Linked DNA regions of Schizosaccharomyces pombe. Changing the gene in region 3 together with the main gene of any one other region gives a genetic interaction. Each region holds a gene or a part of one and is shown on either strand. Other genes may lie near its edges. The genes, in order: sam1, nrd1 and msa1.

Region 1 (6,558 bases), on a different chromosome or scaffold from region 3:
GGCAAGTAAACATAATAGAACCCCAGTATAGCCATTAAACATTAATTTTCAAGGAAAAAATAATTTCCTGCATTCTTTTGCTCTTGATCCATTTGACTGTCGAACTTGTTGATACGTGGTCTCAAGGTATTAGGATCACGACGGAATGTAACATCCAAGTTCTTCAAGAAAGTGTTCATACCAGTAAGAAGTGATTGAGGAGGATTACATCTAGCATCACGAGAAGGTTGTCCCTCGAAAAGGATGACACGGTCAGCCAAATAAGTAGCCATGATAAAATCGTGTTCAACGATAAAAGCAGTCTTGCGTGAGTTGACAATAAATCTCCTAATAACCTTGGAAGCAATAATACGCTGCTCTGAATCAAGATAAGCAGAAGGCTCGTCAATTAAGTACACATCAGCAGGCATACCCAAAGCTAAGCAAATGGCAACACGTTGCAATTCACCACCAGACAAGTTCAATACCTCTTGATCAATGATGTTGTCAATGCTAAGAGGCTTGCAAACTTCACTCTGAAACTTGCCATTCAAGAAAGCAGCACGAATCTTTTTCAAAAACAGCATACGAACGGTACCTTGAAATTTAGGTGCGATTGTTTGGGGCTTCATGCTAATCTTCAAATCCGAGTTCTTAGCCATCCACTTGCAGAATGTAGTTTTACCAGTACCATTCTCACCAAGCAATACAATAATCTCAGCATCAGAAAAACCACCAGACTTAATTGTAAGCTTGAAATCACCTTGCTCAATGACATGATCGGGATAATTGTACTCCGCAGTTCTGTCAGCGGTAATTTCATCAGATGCGTCAGCAAGACGGAATGTCAATGCCTCAGAACGGAATCTCAAATTCTCGGTAGGAATATGACCGTCAAGGAAAATATTAATACCTTCACGAACAGAATAGGGGAGAGTGACAACACCATACATAGAGGGGACGCCGTATAATACACAAACGAAATCGGAGAGATAATCAAGGACGGAAAGATCGTGTTCAACAACAATCACATAGTTGGTAGTAGCCAACAAGCTGCGGATTACACGACCAGCTTTGAGACGTTGTTTAATATCCAAATAAGACGAAGGCTCGTCAAACATGTAAACGTCAGCTTTTTGAGTGGCTACGGCAGCAATAGCAAATCGTTGAAGCTCACCACCAGAAAGATGGCCAACCTCACGATTTAAAAGATTTTGAAGATCGGTGTGATCCATAACTTCTTCAAAATTATTGTTGTTTGCACGAGCTTTAATTAAACCAGATACAGTTTTGTCACCAGTTTTAATCGCCCGTGGGATATGATCAACGTATTGAGGTTTGATAAGAGCCTTAATGTTATCTTCAACAACTTTGGTGAAAAAGTTTTGAAGTTCACTACCACGGAAGTATTTGACAACTTCAGCCCAGTCAGGAGGATTATCATAACGACCTAAATTAGGCTTCATTTTTCCGGATAGGATCTTTAACGCAGTAGACTTTCCAATACCGTTAGTACCAACTAAGCCCAAAACTTGACCAGGACGAGGAGTAGGCAAACGATGAAGCTTGAAAGAATTAGCAGAGTAACGATGGGTTACTTCACTTTCCAAGTTAGTGGGCAAATTAATAATGTTGATAGCTCCGAATGGACATTTTTTGACACAGATACCACAACCAATACATAATGTTTCACTAATAAATGCAATGCGATCGGTAGGATTAACTTCAATACACAATTTACCGGTGCGCACGACAGGGCAAGACCGGCGGCATTCTTGCCGACATTTCTAAAATATTGGTGAGCAAACTAATAAAAACCAAACATTCTAAAACCAGAAGCATTAAAAGCAAAGGAAAGTTTCGTAAGCAAGCAATAAAACGTATTTTAACGTGACACAGACCACTTTGAAAGTTTATTTAAATTTTCGGTCCTTTACCTTACAAGAACCTTTAGATTCGTTTAACCAACATATGGTGACAGCCAAGCCAAGCAAAAATTTACTACTAGTCCGAAAGTGCTTGGCAGATCGTAACAGGATCAAAAAATCTGAACAGAGGTACAATCAGGGCAGTTAAAATATGTTTTAATACTTGAACAAACAAAATTTGACTCAACTCTTTTCGTGGAAAACTTTGTGCACACACAAAAAAGCTCCAGTCATCCACAACGAGTAGACTATAACCTTCTACTAATAAAGCTCCTTTAATTTTTTTATTTTCTTACCTTTGGTCTACACTTATCCTCACTAACAATGGCGATTCTAGTAAGACTTTCGCTCATGGTGTTGAGTAGGGTGCAGTTGGCAAAGGACAACTTAAGGTGCGCCCAATTTTTTGCTTGTACTACCAGTCAACCTACTACAGTTTATAAAAATGCTACATTACATTTCGAATAAAATAAATAAAAAAGATAAATTCAAGTTTCTGAGACTGTAGAAAGATGTATTTTCTTAAATCGTCATTACGAAAATTTTTTATTGCCAATACGGACCTAGCGCTAAGTCATTGCCCATTTAATTGCAGACCAAATAATTGGTCAAAGATATGAAAGTTTGGAAGAGCCAGTTTTTGCAATTAAAAAACATAAGAATGAAGAAAAGAAAAACATCCTTCAATCTGCATAAATACTTATAAGATGCACATTGCATTAGCACACTCAATGCCCAAGTCCAGCCAATATCTAAGGGGACAGCTGGGTTTATTATATATTCAAGCTTCTTTAAATATCTACTAAATTTGCAGTATATAGTTCATCAATCGTAAACATAATTGTAAAAATAAATTGACAGTCAAAGACCCTTCTACTTTTACTTCAAATTGAAAATACAGCGATTTATCAAAATACGAAATACACTTTTTCGTGCTTTCCTTATTTTTTTAATTCATTACAGTCTAGCACTATAAAAAATTTAACATACTATTACCCCTGCTTTTAAATAACAATTGCGCAGAACAATTTGTCTCTACCAGATATCACTATTCTAAAATTGCTCAAGAAATTGAAAAAATGGCGCTACCATCCTGATAAGCAGTCACAACTATAATCAGCATATAAGGCTAAAGAATAACCTTACTTGCTTTACGAAACCTTGAGAGCTTCTTTTGACGAAATTCGCAAGCATATCTACATTTATTAGATTCATTGATAAAGAAGGGTTTTCATTGTTTCCTTATATTTGACGAAACTAATCGCTTGTCTTATTGTTCAATCTTTTCTAGTTTTTTGATTCCATATTTCCTTTACAAGTATCTTGGATTCCCCAATGGCTCAAACTTTTTTGTTTACTTCTGAATCTGTCGGTGAAGGTCATCCTGACAAAATTTGCGACCAAATATCTGACGCTATTTTGGATGCTTGTTTGAAGGATGACCCCTTTTCCAAGGTAGCATGTGAGACCGCTTCCAAAACCGGTATGGTAATGGTTTTTGGTGAAATTACTACTCGCTCACAAATTGACTACCAAAAGGTTATTCGTAATACCATTAAGAGCATCGGTTATGATGACTCTGAGAAGGGTTTCGATTACAAGACTTGCAACGTCCTCGTCGCCATCGAGCAACAATCTCCTGATATCGCTCAAGGTCTTCACTATGAGAAGGCTTTGGAAGAGCTCGGTGCTGGTGACCAGGGTATTATGTTTGGCTATGCAACTGATGAGACCCCCGAGAAGTTACCTTTGACCATTCTCCTTGCTCACAAACTCAATGCTGCCATGTCTGTCGCTCGTCGTGATGGATCTCTTCCATGGTTGCGTCCTGATACCAAGACTCAAGTCACTATTGAATATGAAGAGGAAAACGGTGCTGTCATCCCCCGTCGTGTAGATACCATCGTCGTCTCTGCTCAACACGCTGATAGCATCTCTACTGAAGACTTGCGTTCTGAAATTTTGGAGAAGATCATTAAGCCTACTGTCCCTGCTCATTTGTTAGATGAGAAGACTGTTTACCACATCCAACCTTCTGGTCGTTTCGTTGTTGGTGGTCCTCAAGGTGATGCTGGTCTCACTGGTCGTAAGATTATTGTTGATACCTATGGTGGCTGGGGTGCTCACGGTGGTGGTGCCTTCTCTGGTAAAGACTACTCCAAGGTCGATCGTTCTGCCGCCTATGCTGCTCGTTGGATTGCCAAATCTTTGGTTGCTGCTGGTTTGGCTCGCCGCTGCCTTGTCCAACTCTCCTATGCTATTGGTGTTGCTGAGCCCCTTTCTATTTTTGTCAATACTTACGGCACTTCTTCCAAGACATCTGCTGAGCTTGTTGAAATTATCCGCAAGAACTTTGACCTTCGTCCTGGTGTTTTGGTCAAAAGCCTTAAGCTTCAAACTCCTTTCTATCTTTCCACCGCTTCTTACGGTCACTTCACTGATCAATCCAAGCCTTGGGAACAACCTAAGGAGCTTAAGTTTTAGACAGATAGCTTAGTGCTATCATTAGCTTTTCTCGTTTGTTACGTTAAATACGATTAGAACATGTAACGAATTCTCAGTTGATGGCTTTATGGATACATGGTTTTCTTTAAAGATGAAAAGATTTTAGAGTTGTCTTTATTTATTCTATGTTTGCTTCTTTGTTCTTCAATTGTGAAAGATATATGGTTTTATATGTTAAGTCCTGGTTCAACGGATATGTATTTTTTTTTGGACTGGGTAGGCACAAATTCAACCTTTGTGTTTATGACTGCATCTCGAAGCGGAAAATACACTAAGCCAAAAATTTTTTTGCATACCGACATGTTAATGTTTCTTTTACCGATAGGCTTAGTGTTATTTGATGCTTTTCACGATAGTTATTATTTGCTGACTTTCAACTAGTTGGCCACTTTCGTTTAAATTGAGTTAATTATATGTTAATGGATTTGGTTCAAGACATAGTGTTTTAATCGTATAAGAACGAGTACTCATCTTCACTGTAGCTAATTTAGCTCGCTCACTTGTAACAAGGTGCATGCACACACAATACAAGCGTTTTGATTTTATTGTAATTTGTAATGAATTGAAAATGTCAAACTTAAAAAGGTAGACAATCATTCAGCTTTCAAGATGATCTGTGATAGTAAATGTCATTGGATTAAAACACATTGCTTGCTTACATTATTGTATTTATGGAATAAGCGATGGATTCTCAGCGATCCTAAAAGTACTTAGAATTATATTGGTCTTTTTTTTTGTAGTATAAATATTCAAAAATTCTTCACTAGATGTCTACGGCCATACCTAGGCGAAAACACCAGTTCCCGTCCGATCACTGCAGTTAAGCGTCTGAGGGCCTCGTTAGTACTATGGTTGGAGACAACATGGGAATCCGGGGTTTTGTAGGTTCCTTCTTTATTATTGCTGTTTGGTTTTTACCTTCTCTTTTGGAGCATATTTTGAGTACTGAATTGTGAATCTCAAATTCTATAGATGTTGCTACTCGTTGATTAAGCAATGCTAGAGCAGACTTTGAACTCTCAAATCAAATAATTAAGAAGTTTATGAAAGAAGGCTCTTGTCTTTGTCATGGGTATCGTCAAGCAAAATTCGATGTCTACATCAGATATTGTATAGGAAAATTATCAGATGAATTAGGAAGCATTGTCAACATGCAGAAAGAAATACGGTGTACCATAATACAACATTTGGAATATTTACTTCAATCTGCTAAACTACTTTAGAAGTCAACCACATAATATGGTATTGTCAGCAATACTGCACTACGATATGACATACTACGTTGCGTATCACTATATGTCACATGTTCAACATCAGATCATAGATATCCGTTGATAACAACTATTAGAAAGATTATAAATAGAGCTACAACTGAACCTCGTTCCTCAATTCAGTTATGAGCTATATCGGTGACCGATACTAACAGACTTCTTATAACAATAAATATACATTGTTAGTTAACATACCGCATACCGCTACATTGTAGATCGCAAGTAAAAACTCACCGCAGTTCTATATATCGTTAAAACAGATATCAAACTGCGTAGCTAACCAGTATATATTATAACAATACATGAACCTACGGTAAGTTTTCCTTGTGATCTATATATTGCAATATGTAAATAACACAGTAGCAACTGAATAAAAGGTATTCTAATATTTGAAATGTATGCTTTATCTTTACTGAAAAAGCCTTAGCTAAAGTGGAGAACGAGATTCAGTTCATCTCAGTTTACACTATGAATTGCTAGTATTGTAACAGCTAGTTATCTTATCATATTATATAATAAAATCTCTAGCATGAAAACTTATCACGTTAAGTTGGTAGAGTAAATAAAACATGGGACATATAGTGATACGCACGAAATGAATACACAGAGTATGTTGTATTGTTGATGTCGAAAAGTGTGTCTTCATGCTGTGAAAAGAAGCTGTTATCAAAAAAAAACGTTTGTCCAAAACGTAAATCCAGTAAAATGTTTTTGCTACATTAAAAGACACTTTAGGAATGAAGCATGATAGTAAATTAGAATTTCATCTGAAACTAGCAGATATTGATCCTACACTTTCCAATACTGCACTTAACAATTTACGAGCAAAATCTCTCAGTATTTGCTATTCAGCTATTGCTTGATGTCTGTTGCAA
Region 2 (8,322 bases), 1.8 Mb from region 3:
CGTTCCTCCTACAAAGCAAAATTCATCTCCAAAAAATGGTCACGGAATTCATGGAAGCTTTCTACGTACAGTATGTGGTATCCTGGGATTGGATCAGTGTATATTGTTAATTAGAGAATCAAATTGCTTTGTGAGATGTTTCCCATCGAGAGCTGAGTTAGGTTCCCAAAATTCTACCTCTTTGTCTCGTAATCTTTCCACAGTCAATCCATATGATGAGGGTAGCATAATTAAGAACTGTAAGACATTTTGGAAGCAAAACTTTCTTAACGATGGTCGGCAAGATGAGGCAACAAGACATGTTTAAATTGTTGTCGATTAAAAATTTAATTATAAACATTAAGAATGGAACGTTAGAATGCCTGATAACGTTAAAAAGTTATCACTTCATCATTTAATTTTAATCCCTCCACGGATCATCGTTGCGGGAGTGTTGAGTTAAGTTAGACTAGAATATTCGCGATTCACTCTGAATCTCATTAAATGCTAGCTATGTCACGTATCGTGAAATCCTTGATTTGTAGAACGGCTCGTTTCTTATTCCAAGGTCGTTGGACCCTGTTGCAACGTGAGGGAGGATGAGATTGAAACAAGTAAAGGTTTACTTGAACTTCAAGTTTTCTTGTGTGCGTGTGAACTGATGAAACCTGGCGTCTTGCTATTAATTTTTGCAATGAAAAGATTTTTGTTTCATTTTTGCTATGTAGAGATTGGCTATATATGGCTAGATCATAATTTTTGCAGAAAATTGGGCTTTAGGATTGTTTAATCCAACAAAAAATATCAATCTTTTATAGCGGCTCAAGTGTTCTTGTTATCTTTATGAGATACGCTTTTGTTATTTAGAAACGTGTATAGGTCTCTAGTTTTTCTTTTCTTTTCTAGTGTAAGAAATGGGTAATGGAGGATTCACGAATACATTACAATAAGACTATATTAGTAAAATAGAATACAGTTAAGTGGAAAAGATTACAGAAGAAACCAAGTCATTAGTAGTTCGTTGAAGATATCGCAATGTAGTTTGAAACCTAATATCTGCTTCTTTACGTGTTCTAATTACTTTAATATTAATTAATAAAACAAATTGTATTGCTTTTTTTTATGAATAAGGACAATTAGTGCTAAACATTAAGTATACAACCAAAATTTTTACGTAAACTGACAAAATTTACAAACAATTTAAGTAGAGTGTTATGAACGAGCATATGCCTTTTTTCTACTTTATGGCATTTGTTTCTCTGCTAACCCGAGTTTCTAAAAAAAAAAACGAAAGCCGATGATCACGGTGAATCAAATGACTAAACGCCTTGGCCGGTAAATATGTAAATCTCCGTAGCAACCTTTACGCCTTGACAATCGTTAGTTTGCAGAGTTGAAGAAAAGTCGATATGTTTAGGTCAATAGCTACCGAGTCTACTTTTCTACGCTACAGCGGCATTGAAGTTAGCAGAAGACTCAATTTTGCAGGAGACTATTTAGCTATCTGATCAGTCAGTGTAATAATTAGAGAGCGCTTTCGCTCACCCTTCTTGGCGGCCACCATAAAGCGACTCACAGCGAAATTGTGTATAGAGATTAAGCAACAGCGGAATATTTTGATAAATACAAATTAGATAGTCAATGAATTACTAAGCTGAATAGAATGAAAAAGAAAGAAAAATCCAAAGTGAAAATTGACAGTTACTGAGCTTGTCTACGCCCCCTAAATTTCACGCGGAAAATATTCCTCTACCGTGCAAGGCGGAGACTTTTGAACAATGTGTTAGCTTAGGATTTAAGTCACATCTTAGCAAAGCGTTCAGGGAAGAAGACATACGGTCAAAGTTATCATTTTTGTGTGATTTTCATTATTTATTGTTGCACGAGATAATTTAAATTTTCATGCAGAAGATTTATTTTTTTTTTTGGAATTTATTCTGCTCGGCCAACATTCTTGATTATTCTTGTTTACATTTTTTTATGAGCGGCTTATCGTTAGATATCACTTGTCACTTGGCACTACATGCTTTTTTCTATGAATTATTCCTTTGATATCGACTAATCATCTGAAATAGCGAGGCGAGATTTCGACAGAAGCTTTACCCCCATAAAAATTTTCGTTGTGTTTATACAAAGTGGAAGATGATTACATGTCTGCATTTGTATCAAGTTAGTCTAACTATTTGCTTGAGTCCCACGCTGCTTAGCACACAATCACATACGTACGTGGGCGAAATTGTGTGAAACTCTCGGGGAGCCACTTCGGCTGCTTATTTATTTACTTTTATTTACAACGCGGCGTTGATGGAAAAATTCTAAAACAGTGTGTGAAAACTTGGTTTGCGCGTGCTTGTTAGTGGGCCATTCTAATATATGTCTATACTGGCATATATTTACTTTATTTTACCACTATTACTATTTAACTCATTGCCGCAATCCATACAAGTGCATTCTTTTTTGTTTGTTTTCGTTGCCATGCTCGTTGTCAAGTGTTTACATTCGATTGTGCACTCGCGCTCTGTCGTTGAAGGAACATCCAGAATTAATGTTACCTTGGGCGGCATATTCACATGTTGGTGTACGCTGGATAATCGTTAATGGCATGTAGCTTGTTTCTCTCTATAAGCACGCAGTAATATTAGTGCAGTAACGAAAAGCCGTTAACGTGCTCACTACCAAATACTCAACCACACGAATAGCCGCTGGCTATATCTAATATTCTTTCTCTTTTCATTTCTTTTTTCTCAAAAACATATTTCTTTCTCTACCATTTGCATTTATATGAGTGTATTACTTTGAAGCTTTGATTTTTTTTGTTTCGCGGTATACTTATTGATTATTCGCTAATACTGGTACTTGTTTCTCTTATTTTTTTTCTGTTTCTCCTTTATTTGCTTTTTAAGCAACCTTTTAAATCTACCTGTGAAATAAATATCATCGCCTTTTTTCATTTTCTTTTTTCATTTCCACATTCTTTTCTCTTCTTACTCCTCTGTGATACTATATTTTGGGTCGTTAGAACGCATTGACTTCAATCTACTTTCTCTTCCCTGCATTTTTACCAAGCCTTCCGAATATATTTATTCCAGTTTTTCTATATTCTTTTTTTTTATTTTTTTTACTTCCATTGTACTCCTCATAATCATTATTATCTTGGAAATTTAACTTTCCCTTTTCATTTTTTTCTTCTCTAAAACTCCTTCTTTCACTGTCGACCATACTGTTGACTTTTCTCCTCTTCTTTTATAAGATAAAATACACTTCTACGCGTCTTTAGAATTCTTTGATTGATTATTCTTTCGTACTACTTTGAATTGTATACTTTGCTTTTTTGGTCATACTCTTGTTCATTTCACTTTGTTTTATTCTCCATCAATTTCTTGGAGTAAGTCTAATACTCTTGTTCGGTATCTTTACTTAGTAAGCTTAATTTTTTAAAAAATTAAAAAAAAAAAAATTTTTACCATTGTTAGGCTCATATTCCTTTCCACATCATTCAAGATTTTGTTGAGGTTGTTGTGATCTGCTTGTTTCATTCGCATTTTTTCCTTCCATTTATTCGCTTTGCCTACGTGCCTCTCAGTCTAAGTTTCCTTATTCAGTTTGGGAATTACGAGTTTTCTTATTTTTAGAATTAAAAAATACGTTGGACGTTGACAGTTTTCTTTTGGCTAAGATTTTCCGTTGCTATTAATTATTGTCTTTCTCGTCTAATTGAGTTTTTTAAACAGACTTGTTGTTAGCTTTAAGCGATATTGTTTAACTATTCATTTATTACCCGCTTGGATTTTTATCGTTAAACGCATCATAAGTTGCCTCCTAAGTTCGTGAGCTTTATTGGTCCGATTTTGGTTTTCGATATATTTCAAAGTGATATAAATTGTAAGATATACCCCTTTATTATTTGTTACCAAACGTCACTCTCGTTGATTTCTTTATTTTACATTTCTTCCTTTGTCAATCAAGCAGCTGTGCTCTTAGTATAATTCTTTCTTTAACAGTTATTGATTTCGGTCATTATGTCTTCTAGCAGTCCCTCTAGTCAGTCCCGTCTTTCTGTCCCTGGAAGAACTCCACATTTACCACCACTTACTATCCCTCATACTGTAAGTGCTGAAGGTCTCGCTACACCAAACACACCGCATGCTCTACTCCCTACCGGGCTTCTTATGGGGAGTCCTTTTGTTCAAAGCCCAACGAGCTATACTTCCATGCATGGCTTGCCCTTTAGCACTACCCAAATGGCAGCGGCTCCCGCTCATCCCACGACTGGCTATAATGTTTCACGTGTTACCAGTCCTAATGTTGCTAACTTTGCCCCGGGTTACTTTCCACTTCCGAATAACACTACACAACCTGTTAAAACTGTGTATGTTGGTAACCTTCCTCCCAATACCCCTATTGATGAGATTCTTTCTTGCGTGCGTACGGGACCAATTGAATCTGCATGGATTCTACCTGAGAAAAATTGTGCCTTTATTTCCTTTTTGGATCCGAGCCACGCTACTGCCTTTTTCCAAGATGCTGCCTTGAAGAGATTGACAATTCGGGGTACTGAAGTAAAAGTTGGTTGGGGCAAGAACTCAGCCTCGAATTCATCTGTACTACTTGCAGTCCAGCAATCTGGCGCTTGTAGGAATGTATTCCTCGGCAACTTGCCGAATGGTATTACTGAAGATGAAATTCGTGAAGATTTAGAACCATTTGGACCTATTGATCAAATCAAAATCGTAACTGAACGAAATATAGCTTTTGTTCATTTTTTGAACATTGCAGCTGCAATCAAAGCTGTCCAAGAGCTACCATTAAACCCCAAATGGTCCAAACGGCGCATTTACTACGGACGGGATAGATGCGCTGTGGGTTTGAAGCAACCTGCTTACTTTTCTAAAGGCCAAGTCGGCGTTGTTGGCGGTTATCCCGTAATGGGGTATCCTCCCCCAAGCCCGGTTCTCCAAAAACCGGATCTTATCATGACTGGGAATCGCACTGTTTACATTGGTAATATCCATGCTGATACTACTATTGAAGAGATATGTAACGCTGTTCGTGGAGGATTGTTACACAATATTCGTTATCTTCAGGAAAAACACATTTGTTTCGTAACTTTTGTTGACCCTGTTTCTGCTTTTCGATTCTTTGAAATGTCCAACATTCATGGTTTGGTCATTCGCAACCGTCGTTTAAAGATAGGTTGGGGTAAGCATAGCGGCCCTCTTCCCTCAAATATCGCTTTAGCCGTTGCTGGTGGTGCTAGTCGTAACATTTATATTGGCAATGCTGATGATTCTTTGACTATTGAACGCTTAAAAGAGGATTTTGAGGAATTTGGCGAAATTGAGTACGTCAACTTTTTCCGCGAAAAGAATTGCGCTTTTGTTAACTTTACGTCGTTGGCAAGTGCGATTAATGCGATTGATCGAATCAAGCAGAAGAAGGGATATGAAAACTATCGAATTAGTTATGGTAAAGATAGGTGTGGTAATCCACCTAGAACTAATTCCAAGTCAGACGTTCTTTCTGTCTCTTCTGATATGAGCATGCCTGTTGATCTCGTTGTTCCTCAGCAAGGAATATCCGGGTTTATGCCAACAAACTCCAATATTTAAATATTGTAGAGTGTTTTGCTCTTAAACGTGTTCGATATTTTTATGGATAAAGGTTTTCCAGCGCTTTGAGTTCATATCAATTTGTGCTCATAAAACACCTTTTATTGACGAACTTTTTTATTGCTTATTTTACAAAATCACTTTCTTTTTTACATTAGATTATTAAGGGTAACCATTTGCATTCGCATTACAAAAGAAAAAGTATTCTTTTGTTTAAATGACCTTACTTGCTATTGTTTCAACATTCCTTCGTTTTACTTTCTCTCGTTTATGCCCCTTACTCAACGTGGCCCATACTCTTTTCTTCTTACTTTGTTTCATTTTTACGCATTATAAAACCTTCATTGTTGAAGTAGCAGTTTTTTTTTGTTTTATTTGGCATTTTTTCTACTATGTTAGAGGTTATCGAGTTTGTATTTCTATCAAAAGCTCGATGTCCTTCGTTTTTGATTCGTTTTTGCAAACAATATTGACGAATCTTTCCACATTTTCAATTACAGTTTTAAAATGTACTTCTGACTTCTATTTTTATTTTTTTTTTCATTCTACATATTCTTATATATTTATGTTTCGATTTTCAACGTTATTTCTTTATCAAAAGTGATTGCTGAAGACTTCAACGGTGTTGATTAATACTTAACAATAGCTTTAATTTGATTGTCTGGTCATATTTAAATGCTAGTTTGTTAATTATGGTTTATTTGTCGCGTTCTAAATGCGTTTTTCAACCCATTATTGTCTACTAGTTCCAAACCGAAATTGTTCTAATGATCTTATGTATATATTTTTGGTCTAGGTAAATATACATCTCTTCTTTTGCTCATCCTACACCGTCGTTGAGAGATTGTACAAAGTTCGGTAATTAATGAATGCAAACATAACAAAACTCTACCGTAGTAATGAGTTTTGAAAAGGCATCAGTATTTGAGTCTCTATTTATATTGTGCGTTTGGTGCTGTAAATGTTTTCCTCATTTATTAGAACAGCTGAACATTGTAGCACAATCTAAAAACAGTTTATTCAGTTTCATTGTATAATGCAACTTAAACAAGTATCTAATTTACACTATTTGTAAAATGAAAGAAAGACAACGCATCTACCACTCTAACTTACGAGATCCATCCATAAACATATCAAGGGTCGCCTCATCAACTTTCGAACGTGCTGCTTGAAAGTCAGAAACGAACTGCTGTAAAAGCTTAATACACTCTCCTTTCATTTCTCCGGTTGAAAGAGTACCAGCCTTATAGGTATTGTACAATTGTTTCAACTTCTCGTCGTCATCTAGGAAAAAAGAAAGATATTGATATGCAACATCAACGTCTGGGTTACCTCCTTTTTCACGGTGGATTTCGATTGTAGCGCCACCTCCAGAGAAAGCATGCCTGTTGATCTTATTTTTAATTTTGTTTGGAGTATCAGTCATGAAAATCGCAGAAGAATCTTTACTGGCACTCATTTTTGATTGTGGTCCTTGGAGAGCTGGGAAAAAGCGACTATGCAAAAGTGCAGGCTTCTTAAATTTCAACCTACCAGAAACATCACGCGTCAAGCGGAAGTAGGGATCCTGGTCGATTGCACAAGGAATCAAACACGGGATATCTTTGGCGCCATTAAAGATATGAGGAAAGGAGCTGCTGAAGCTAGGAGCGGCTTGAATTGACGCAAAATGTATTTTTCCAATAGAGTCACTATCGGTGAAGCCGAAACAAGCCTTGGATTGGTTTGCAGTAATGCATTTCGCAATACGAACGACATTTTGATAAAACGCACCTCCAACATAGGTACTGTTCATGAAAATAAAAGTCTTTTTTGGATCAAACCCAACAGCAATAATATCCTTAGCATTCTCACGAGCAAATCGTTGGCAATCCTCTAAGGAAACACCTTGCTTAAACAAGAACTTCTCATCGTCCGTTAACTGGATGACCAATGGCACTTGAAAAACATCCTGAAGCCACTTGCAAAACATAAAAGGAATCATATGGCCTAAATGCATGCTGTCACTACTTGGTCCTCTACCTGTATACAAATAGAAAGGTTTCTTCTGCTCATAGCGGTCCAAAATCATATCAAAATCACGATGGGAGAAGAAAGCACCTCTACGAAGTAATAAATGAGGCTTCTTTCCAGTTAGCTTTTCGAAGCGCTCAAGTTGTTCAGGAGTAATTTTCCTAGTGCCAAATTGAACGATTAAGCGCTCATAATCGATTCCTTTCTCTTCACCATCGACTATAGAGCCTTTTACATCCCAGGGCGTCACAATTTGTTCCTCAACAGACATTTTTCCTCTTCAAAAAGAAACTGTTCAAGGCGCACTACGTTCGCAGAAAATTTTGTTGCTTGGCGGAGGAAGTGGTAAATCAGACAAAAGCGATGACTAACTTATCGCCAACAAATTCGGTAACTTCATAATTTCTTTAAAAAATTTCTGTTAGTACTGCTGATTCCTTTATAAAAATGTATTCATTATAACTGTTTCTGGGTGCTTAAATTAGTTGAGATAGAGCGTTCGAAAAACTAGCGCAGTTGTAGTGTCTCTAATTAAAGCCGATACGAAAACTTAAATAAGAATTTGAATAAATGTATTACAAAAAATATGATTAAATATAAACTGATATATTAGATTAGTGGGACCGCTGCCATCAATAGTAAAGCTATCATAAACAACTTTTGCAAACTCACAATTCTATTTTTATATATAAACCCATGTCCAGCACAAGTGTTGTTTTTT
Region 3 (9,216 bases):
CTTTGAAAACGTACTGATCTACATTACCATAGTGTCTTGTATTGTTGGCCTTGCAAGTGAAGTGCTATTTACTGTTACTATCAATAAACGCATCTTTGGTTCTTGGTTACCATACTTTGTGCTACAAATTTTATCTCTCATAAGTTTTTTTTCTTTTTTTTTTTTTTTTTTGAAATTTTAAATAGATAACAAGCCGAATTTCGAGAATTTGCTTGTCTTGATCAGGTAAAAAAGGGTAGTTGCTCCGATCGATCGAGCTAATGATATCAGTAAAGATCAAAATTTAGGAGAACTTCCGCGGTAGCGGATTTCTCAGTCAAACATAGTACTACAATAGATACAGAAAAGAATTGCTTAGCTATGCAAATATTTACTCAATGAACGTTGACTGAAGTAGCTTCATCTCTTGCATGTGCGTTACGGCAATGCATATGCATGTATCGGGAGTGAATAAATGAATAGAGATGTTGACAAGCGACAAGAAAATAATTTTTATAGGTAAGAAAGTTTTTGATAACTTTTTCTAACTGCTCAACCATTGCTATTGACGAAGTTTAGATGGATGTTTTTTTCTTAGGATTGCTAGTGGTAATCGCTATTTTCACTAACGCTAAGCGTTACAGCTCGTTTCGCTTTTTATTCCCATCCAAAAACTTGGACCCCAATGAGACAAAGTGGGGGTGGAATATTAGAATTGCGACTTTTAGATCGTTACTGAATACCATTCCAAGTATCCCACATTGGAGAACCATGTGGGGAACCGTTCGAGTTGGTATTGTACATACCCCGTCGGCCAAGGTAAGAGAGCGTGTAGACTGTAGTTACTACTTTTTGGCTAGAGGATTCAAAACTCAAAAATAGCTCTTAAAAATAAATATAGAAATGAATTAATTCAAAAACATATAATTTTTCTTCGGGATTCCTTTTTTTTACAACAACAGTCATTTCAAGTGCTTTGACTTGACAGACGCAACATAAATAAATAAATAGAACACTTTGATGCAAAGTATCGAATTCCAACATATCTCTCTAGACTGCTTTTCTATTAAAACCATGACTACTAGTGTTTCCATATAAAAATATAAAGAGATCCATCAACAACTAATACGTACATATTAGATTTTGCATTCCCAAATTGCTTCGTTATTTCACATACACCCATTTATTTAAAACGAGTTAAGAGTAACATCATTTGAAATCAACTGAAACATTTATATAAGCTGATTTTTCACAATCTTGCTATTTCACTAGTGTGGAACCTGGAGCTGCTTCATAGTTTTATACAATAGCATAACAAAACTCCAATAATCTCATTTATACTCTGACTCACCAAGTCGATGATGTGTATCTATTTAGGTTAAATTGATCAATTATATAATTGTTTCTCATATATTCCCTTACTTATCGTATTTATTATTTATTTATTTATTTTTATTTTTTGGAATATATACCGTCTAATTAATAATAACATGATTCTATCCACTACGTTATAAATAATGTTGGCTAAAAAAGTTTCTTTACGTAAAAAAAAAAAACAAAGTCAAATTGCTTTGCATACATGTGTCCAAAATTTACGATTATTGAGAATGATAGATAAAATCATAAATAAAAGTTTTGAAAGTGATGGAAGTTGCAATTTTCTTTCTTTATTGAAAACTTGTGCATCCATTTGTATTAGTAAACCAGCTTGGATTGTTAGGTAACTGTTACCCCAAGGGCATCTGGTCTATACGACTTGAGTGGTGCAAATATCCAAGTTGTACCTCATGTCTTCCAATCCGCTATAGCGAAGACGATGTTTGGTCGGAACGATTCTCTCCATTCATCGATTTTCTTCAGCTTCTTCTAGCAACGCTATATATATTCGTGCTCTCCGCCATCTGCCTCTTAAACACTCGTATATCGTTTATCCTTTCATTGACGGTATTCCTTTGCAGATATCGTAAACGAGTTTTCATAAAATTTAATCCTTTTTTGTTTATCTCTTACTTCCTTTGCCCATTTCCATCTCTTCACATAAATAAGTACGATGCCTCGTAGACGTTCTGCCGCACCTCCTCCTCGCCGTGCAGCTCCTGCCAGAAGTGCTTCCACTGCTGCTGCTTTACCTCCTAGGACAATGGCACCTCCTCCTGCTCCTAGTCGTGTGCAACAGGCTCCTCCTCCCACCGCCGTCCAAGGAGGCAGCTCACCTGGATTCTTCGGCAATCTGGTTAGTACAGCGGCTGGTGTTGGTATTGGAAGTGCTATCGGACACACGGTTGGCAGCGTCATAACAGGCGGTTTTTCTGGAAGTGGTTCCAACAATGCTCCAGCTGATACTAGTGTACCTCAATCTAGTTACAGCAACAGTGTTCCAGAAGCCGCTTATGGTTCAGCACCTCCATCCACCTTTGCCAGCAGTGCTATTTCTGAAGAGGCGAAGAATGCTTGCAAGGGCGATGCTAAAATGTTTGCAGATTGTATAAATGAGCATGAGTTCAGTCAATGTTCTTACTATTTGGAACAGCTAAAGGCTTGTCAGGCCATGTGGTCCAACCAACAATAAGAGGCAATGAACTAATTTATTTATTTTTCTATTAAATAAAAGTTATGCCCAGTTTGTTTGCATCAGCATCAGCATCGAAATTTTTTTTTTCATGTTTCTACTAACGAGAACGTTGAACCCTAATAGCATTTGTTAAGCAGTAAATAATAACTGGTTTCCCTGGTATAAGACATAGTATAAGAACGAGAAGAAATAAATCATATATGGTATTTTTTTTGTTTGGTTTAGTAATGAAGTTCTTTTTTTTTAAAATGGCCCAGTAATAAAAAAGTTCACGAAGAACGTAGTTAGAAAGCTTGATAAATAAATTAAATGAAATCTATGCTCTTTAGAAAGTTCTATGATCTGGCTTGGAGAAGAGTAGTACATAACAGTATGGTAATGTAGTTAGAGCTTCTCTTAACATGCGTACGTTTTCATACCTCTTAATAGTAGGGATGGTTCAGTTCATACAGCTACCTAGTTCACCCCATCAATCAATCAATCAATCGATACAGTCACTCTTCAAAGCATTTTGAGAGTTCTCCCACAGATTTTATGCTAGCTGGAGTTCCGACTTGTTTATTAAAGTAGGAAGGTTGGAAGCGAACCATATCTAACAAACTTTTTTCAAAACGAAAATTAAAAGCAAATTAAACTTTCATTGTCTTACGTCCCATGTTAGGGGGGGGAAGCAGCTAAACAATGATGATTTATAGATGGTTGCCTCGGCTATTATTTACTTTGTTTCATATCTGAAAGAAGAGTAAGGGATAGGATACGCCAAAGATCCACCATAAAACGGTTTATCAACAAAAGGATCATCATCGAATTTGGTTTATGAGTCTTTCAAATGTACTCGTGTTTGTTAGTTTAACATACTATTGCATCCACTAGAGATAGTTAAGAGAAGCTGATTTACAAATGATCGGTTTCGACATGTCTGCCAAGTTATACTTTTAACGTATTACCAAGAAAAAAAAATTTACGGGACGGGGATTCCATTCTTGCTGCTTTGGTTTATACTGTAAGCATAACAGCAATCTTAAATTGAATCGTCTTTGCCAAGCGCATTTGTAAGAGTATTGTATGCTATGCCACGCAGTGCATTTTCATATCCAACGCTACATACAATTTGTTGTTACTCTTTCTGTAGACCATTTCGGAACGTTGATTGAAGATCGGAAAATTTAATGTTTCGTCCAGAAATTGTCTGCATATGTAGTATCACAGAGAGTGTCAAGTCATATCTGACAGCATCAGGTTAATGAGCTTAATTTGGGCCAAAGGCGAGCTAGAAAAGAAGAAGAAAAAAAGAAAAAGTAAACAGTAAAGAAAAACATATAACGACTCTTATTCATCCTTCCTCAGCATTCCCTTTTTCATATTTTTATCCCATTCTAATCCTAGTCTAAGAAATGCTGGCGATATAGACCGAGTCTACTGGTGTCTGGAAAGGAACATAGCTATATCTATATATAGATATAGATATAGATATGTATGTATGCTTGTATTTCGTTGGCAGTTTTCTAGTTTAACTAGCAAAATACAAGAATTAAAATTAGTATTAGTATTATTATTATTATTTTTAAACATTTAAACATCGACTAATTTTTTCAACATCTGTTTTCACTTTCAAGTATCGACTACTTTCTACATTCCAACGATCCATTCTTTATTATAGATTCACCCTTTTCCTCGATAAATAAGCACCATTACACATACTTAAAATTTTTGTTTCAAAGGGAAGCTAAACTGTACGACGATGTTTATCGTTATACTCAGCTGTCACTTATCCAGAACTCACTCCATCAGAGTGCGTGCATTTAGCTTGCTCCCTGCACATCCCACTACAAAGTGTTAGAGATAGGCAATCGGAGTTAGAATACCGAGACTTTATTCCAAGGTAAAAACACATCTAGAAATGGGGACAAACAAAGAAACAAAAGGTCATGTGAATGTTAGATTCAAGGGGTAGAGTTCGATATCTCAGCAAGCGATTCCTTTTTTTTTTTTTTTTTTTTTTTTTGAGAAAACCTCGGTACACGCTAAGCTGGCTTTTCCTATTGTTACTCCTTTTACTACTAGTATTATACTATTGCTTTGCTTTGTTGAATAAACAGTCTATAGAACGCTCAAGAAAATACGACGAAAATAGTTTATTCATAGCTTGACAAACTAACTACCTTTGTTTTGTTTTGTTTTTTTCTTTTCTTTTTTTTTTCGTTTCTTAGCTTGGCTATAGCTTGCGTATTCTGTCTTTGTCAGTCATTAATCCAGACAGTAATATAACATATTCACCTTGTTCTTTTAAAGGTCTCCCTTTTTTTCTTTGTTGCTCATCTAGATTGTGCTTAATTTTTTTTTTGTATACTAATCAAAATTCAATTTATTTTTCTTTAGTTATTTATTTGTTTTTTTTTTCGCTTTATTGGATCCTATTGTAAAAAATCATCTTTTTCATTGTGCTTGCAATTTACCTTTCTTTGACGATTACGCCTTTGTTCACGACTTTTAGCATTCTTCCTTTTTCTATCTCCATGGGGCCGTTGTTAACTTACTCCTAAAATTTGTAGTTGCTTATCTTCACAACCAAAGGATGCTTCGGTGCAGCACCCAATTTTTAGCCCATTACCCTGTGCCCAATTCTCAATGTCTCATCATTTGTCAATACTAGCTTGTTCCTTATACTCCCTGTAACCCACTATCTAAGACATTGTGGAGAGGGAAATGTTGGCAGTAGTGATATACTTCCGAATGGACAATTGCCTATCAATCGTGGTAAAGGAGAATGGCTAGAATTTAGTAAAATGATATGGCCCAAATAGAACGGTAAAATTACTAAAAGATTGAGGATTTGAGGCAGCGTCTTGGTCGTTTGACTAATTATTAGAGTGTAAGCAGGATTCGGATGTATTGCTCCTTTAGTTAATCATATCGTCTGGTTTTGCTCCCTAATGTCCCTTGTCCTCTTTTATGCCGCCTACATTACCGATGAAGAACACGTGTTGAAATCCCCGAGTTTGCAAGTAGTCTTGATATACAATGTCTTTTCCTCGTATATTCCGAGCAGATCTAAACCTTCGTCGTGAATAACCCCCTTCTTTGCTTTCACCTAAATCAATTGCTATTCGAGGGTTTTCGATTCTCTCCTTTCTCCATTAACATACTAAATTCAATTTCTCTTTGTGTGGGTTGCTTCCTTTTTGCTGAGACGTCTCCCCGTCTTCCATCCTGTCTTTATCAGTTTTGTTGCATTTCTGATCACCCATTTTTTCTTTTTTTCCTTTTCTTTTGTTATCTATCGAATACCTCCACATTGCTTGAAATACTAGTGAGACTGCGTTTACCTTCTCTTCTCATCTGATTCTGTCTGTGCCATTGAGCTTTCCTTCGCTCTCCTCTTGCACCTTTTGTTGCGTTTACTGGCTTCTTTATTTTTATTTGTTTTCTTTTTCACCTCAAACTTTCTCTGTGTTCAGCTTTTCGAGATATTCAACTGCAATTGTACTGCTCTTTGATTCTTTCACCTTTTTCAATTCGAACTTGCTACTCCCTCAAGCTTATCCAATTATTTTTTAGCTTCCACTTGAGAAGAGTTCTCTCTATCCATCACCCAAAAACTGAAATTTCATCTTTGTGAAATTTCTTTCACGGTCTGATCACCGTGCAAGCTATTTCTATTCCCCATTTTACTTTTCTCATCATCTGACTCTTATTCTGGAAATACTCGTTTCCCCCACTCAAATATATATTTATTCTTTGGGCTTTCCTTAGACTATTGTTAGACTGCAAAGTCTCGTTTGGTTTACCTACTGTCTATCTCTGGTTTTGGTTTTTCATTTTCCATTTCTGTTTCAGCTGGTTTCTCAAAATCTTCATCCTTTCTTTCTTTCTTTCTTTTGACTCGTCATTTTTAAGAGCCATTCCATTTCTTTCTTATTTATACGTGTATAATCTCTATTTTATCTTTGCATTTTTGCACTAAATTACCATACGCTTGCGTTTTTTTCTTTCCCTATTTCTGCAATTTTATTACCTGAGTAAAAGTTTTCCCATTCGTTTTTTCCTATCCCTTCTTTGATCAATTTTATTTATCTTTTCTTTTGACCAAATTTTTTCTCTGGGGTTTTTTTTAAACTTTGTTTTGAAGGAAATTTTAAATTAATTAACTTTTAACTTTTTCAGTTGAAATACTTTTCATTCTTTTTTCTACGCAGCTTTTGGATTGCTGTTGACACATCATCTCATAACTATCTATTGTATTCCATATAATCGACTGATACGACCTCCATCCCACTTTGGCGCAGGCATCTCGTATAAAGTTTTGTCTTTTTAATTTGATATCAATCCGGCATCCTTGTTTCATGCCCCTTTATAGATCCTTTCTCATTCCAAACTTTTTTTTTAAACACATTATTTAAAAATGGTTGTTTCCTCTCCGTCTGTATCTTTATTGCATTCTCCTGTCGAAAAATTATCAGCCCAACTCGAAAAAACAACGCTTTTACAAGACATTCCCCCAGGTTCTTTATCCGAAAATGATAATTCCACTACCTTTATAAAGCCTCCTTTGGAAACTGCATCATCAAGCACCCCTATCCCAAGTTCCTCTTCCAGTGGAGTATTAAATCCGTCGTCTGTCCGTGGAAAACCAGTTGCCTGTTTATTTGTTGCTAGCTTAAACTCTTCAAGGTCTGAGGAAGAGCTGACTGCCACTGTTAAAGATTACTTTCAACAGTGGGGTCCTTTGTTGCATGTCAAAGTTTTGAAAGATTGGTTGCAAAGGCCTTATTCTTTTGTTCAATTTCAAAATACTGATGATGCATCGAAAGCACTTTCTGAAGCCCAAAACACGATATTGGATGGCCGTCATATACGTATAGAGCGCGCCAAAGTTAATAGGACAATCCGTATATCCTCTGCACCCCATCAACCTTACATTACAAAAAAAGACATAGATAACTTATTGGAACCTTATGGCGAGGTTGAAGATGTCACGGAAATACCAGATCAATCCGCTTTCTTAGTACGGTTTGTTTACAGGGATGAAGCAATCGCAGCCTATACCGCGCTTAAGCATTCTGCCTGGCCTGTACTTTGGGCGGAAAATGTGACATATCAAAACGGTCACTATAAGAAGAAAGGTTCCTCCCCGTTTTCTCCACCTAACGCACATAGTCGAAGGCGAAAGTCGCAAGGCAAAGATCAGTCGAACACTCCTGTTATCAAAGCACCTGCCCCTATTCCATTCTCAGTTTCTTCCGATCCTCCTTCTACCATGGGAAGATCAAATTCCGCGGTTCAAAGTCCCTCATACTTTGCTCACTCATTGGTCAATTCTACTGAATTCAGTACTCCTAATGAATCTTTAAGCTCCTTACCGAGTATATTACCTTCAATACCCTCTTTAGAAAGCGGCAAGGCCGAACTCCCAACAGATGGTTCTTTTGAACAGCCTGGATATCCCATGAACCCCTCTATGATGTTTGCTGCAATGCCTCCACCGATTGATCCTTATTCTATATTCGTTGGCCAACTCGACCCAGTAAATTGCACACACTACTTACTAGTTGATCTATTTTCCAAATATGGAAAGGTAATCGATTGTAAAATAATTCATCAAAGCAAGAAGCCTGCTTTTGCTTTTCTAAGGTTTGATTCTCAACAAGCCGCTTATGCTGCCGTCTGCGGTAAGACGAGGTCCCCACACCAGAAAAAGCCTTTGCGTGTTGAATTTCGTCAACTAAGACCAATGCAGCAATTTTCCCCTCAATATCAATATCCCTCCTATCCATATCCGATGTTTCCAGCGCCATTTTCACCACCTCGTAATGCAATGATGCCAATCCCTGCACCCATGGATCAGTTTTCAACATTTCACCAGTCAATGGCTACCCTTCCTCCTGGTGCCGTTCCCACATCAATTCCTCAGTCGTACTATCCCATTTATTCTCCAGAAATGGCTATGCCTCAATCGTACAGTCCGATGTATTATACGCATAACCCACCTATGGATGGGAATTAGATTTATTTTGAATTTCCCTTCATTATCTGATTGAGGTTTCACTTCTTTATACAGTCCTTAAGTGTCGGAGTTTTTTTTATTAGGTACATATTCTATAAAACACTAATAATTATCTAATTTATTTTACTTAAAAGATGCAAATTGGCTGCAATTATATTTAAAAGATTTAGAGTCATAAATGTTATTATGTTCATATATATGTCTTCTATATAATTTTACGAATTAGTGTAACTCGTAACAGTTCTCTACTTTACGCATTAACGATATAATGATATTAGATAGAAGTTTATTTATATATGCTCCCAAATATAGATGTTCTCACACATGTATCGTATACACTCTAACCATTTGATTATTTTCACTACATAAATTTTTACAAAAATACTATATAAAGTCAATTCATTTTATGAAATTTTTAATTTGAGGCTGTAATATTACGTGAACTTTTTATTTTGGCTTACTGGCGAACTGAAAAAAGAAAATTAGTTTTTTTTTTAACAGACCTCTATTTCATAGCTTTAGACTTTCTCAAAACACTAGTTTCATATAAATATTCCTTATAGACACTAAATACAAAAAAAGGTTCGTGAGGTAAAGAACCAGAAAAAGAAAAAAATTATAAAGACAGGACAAGCATAAGTTTACAAGGGACTATTATATA

The links.
Region 1: of msa1 (region 3) and sam1, extra expression of one rescues a mutant of the other (dosage rescue), as found in Schizosaccharomyces pombe (one study listed by BioGRID).
Region 2: of msa1 (region 3) and nrd1, changing one enhances a phenotype caused by changing the other (phenotypic enhancement), as found in Schizosaccharomyces pombe (one study listed by BioGRID).

What each region holds. Positions count from the first base shown.
Region 1 is NC_003423.3:4,160,361-4,166,918, reverse strand, and holds sam1 (S-adenosylmethionine synthetase), read left to right. Parts: upstream 1-3,060; 5' UTR 3,061-3,242; coding exon 3,243-4,391; 3' UTR 4,392-4,850; downstream 4,851-6,558. Other genes in the region: Fe-sulfur ATPase Rli1, read right to left, coding at 42-1,766, 2,204-2,260. UniProt on the Schizosaccharomyces pombe protein: Catalyzes the formation of S-adenosylmethionine from methionine and ATP. The reaction comprises two steps that are both catalyzed by the same enzyme: formation of S-adenosylmethionine (AdoMet) and triphosphate, and subsequent hydrolysis of the triphosphate.
Region 2 is NC_003424.3:552,633-560,954, forward strand, and holds nrd1 (RNA-binding protein Nrd1), read left to right. Parts: upstream 1-2,653; 5' UTR 2,654-3,998; coding exon 3,999-5,588; 3' UTR 5,589-6,419; downstream 6,420-8,322. Other genes in the region: palmitoyltransferase Akr1, read left to right, coding at 1-307; tryptophan-tRNA ligase Wrs1, read right to left, coding at 6,685-7,872.
Region 3 is NC_003424.3:2,317,977-2,327,192, reverse strand, and holds msa1 (RNA-binding protein Msa1), read left to right. Parts: upstream 1-4,367; 5' UTR 4,368-6,953; coding exon 6,954-8,555; 3' UTR 8,556-8,701; downstream 8,702-9,216. Other genes in the region: SPOM_SPAC6C3.03C (uncharacterized protein), read left to right, coding at 559-861; mix17 (CHCH domain-containing protein), read left to right, coding at 2,030-2,548. UniProt on the Schizosaccharomyces pombe protein: Negative regulator of sexual differentiation. Acts by repressing the transcription of meiosis-inducing, ste11-regulated genes.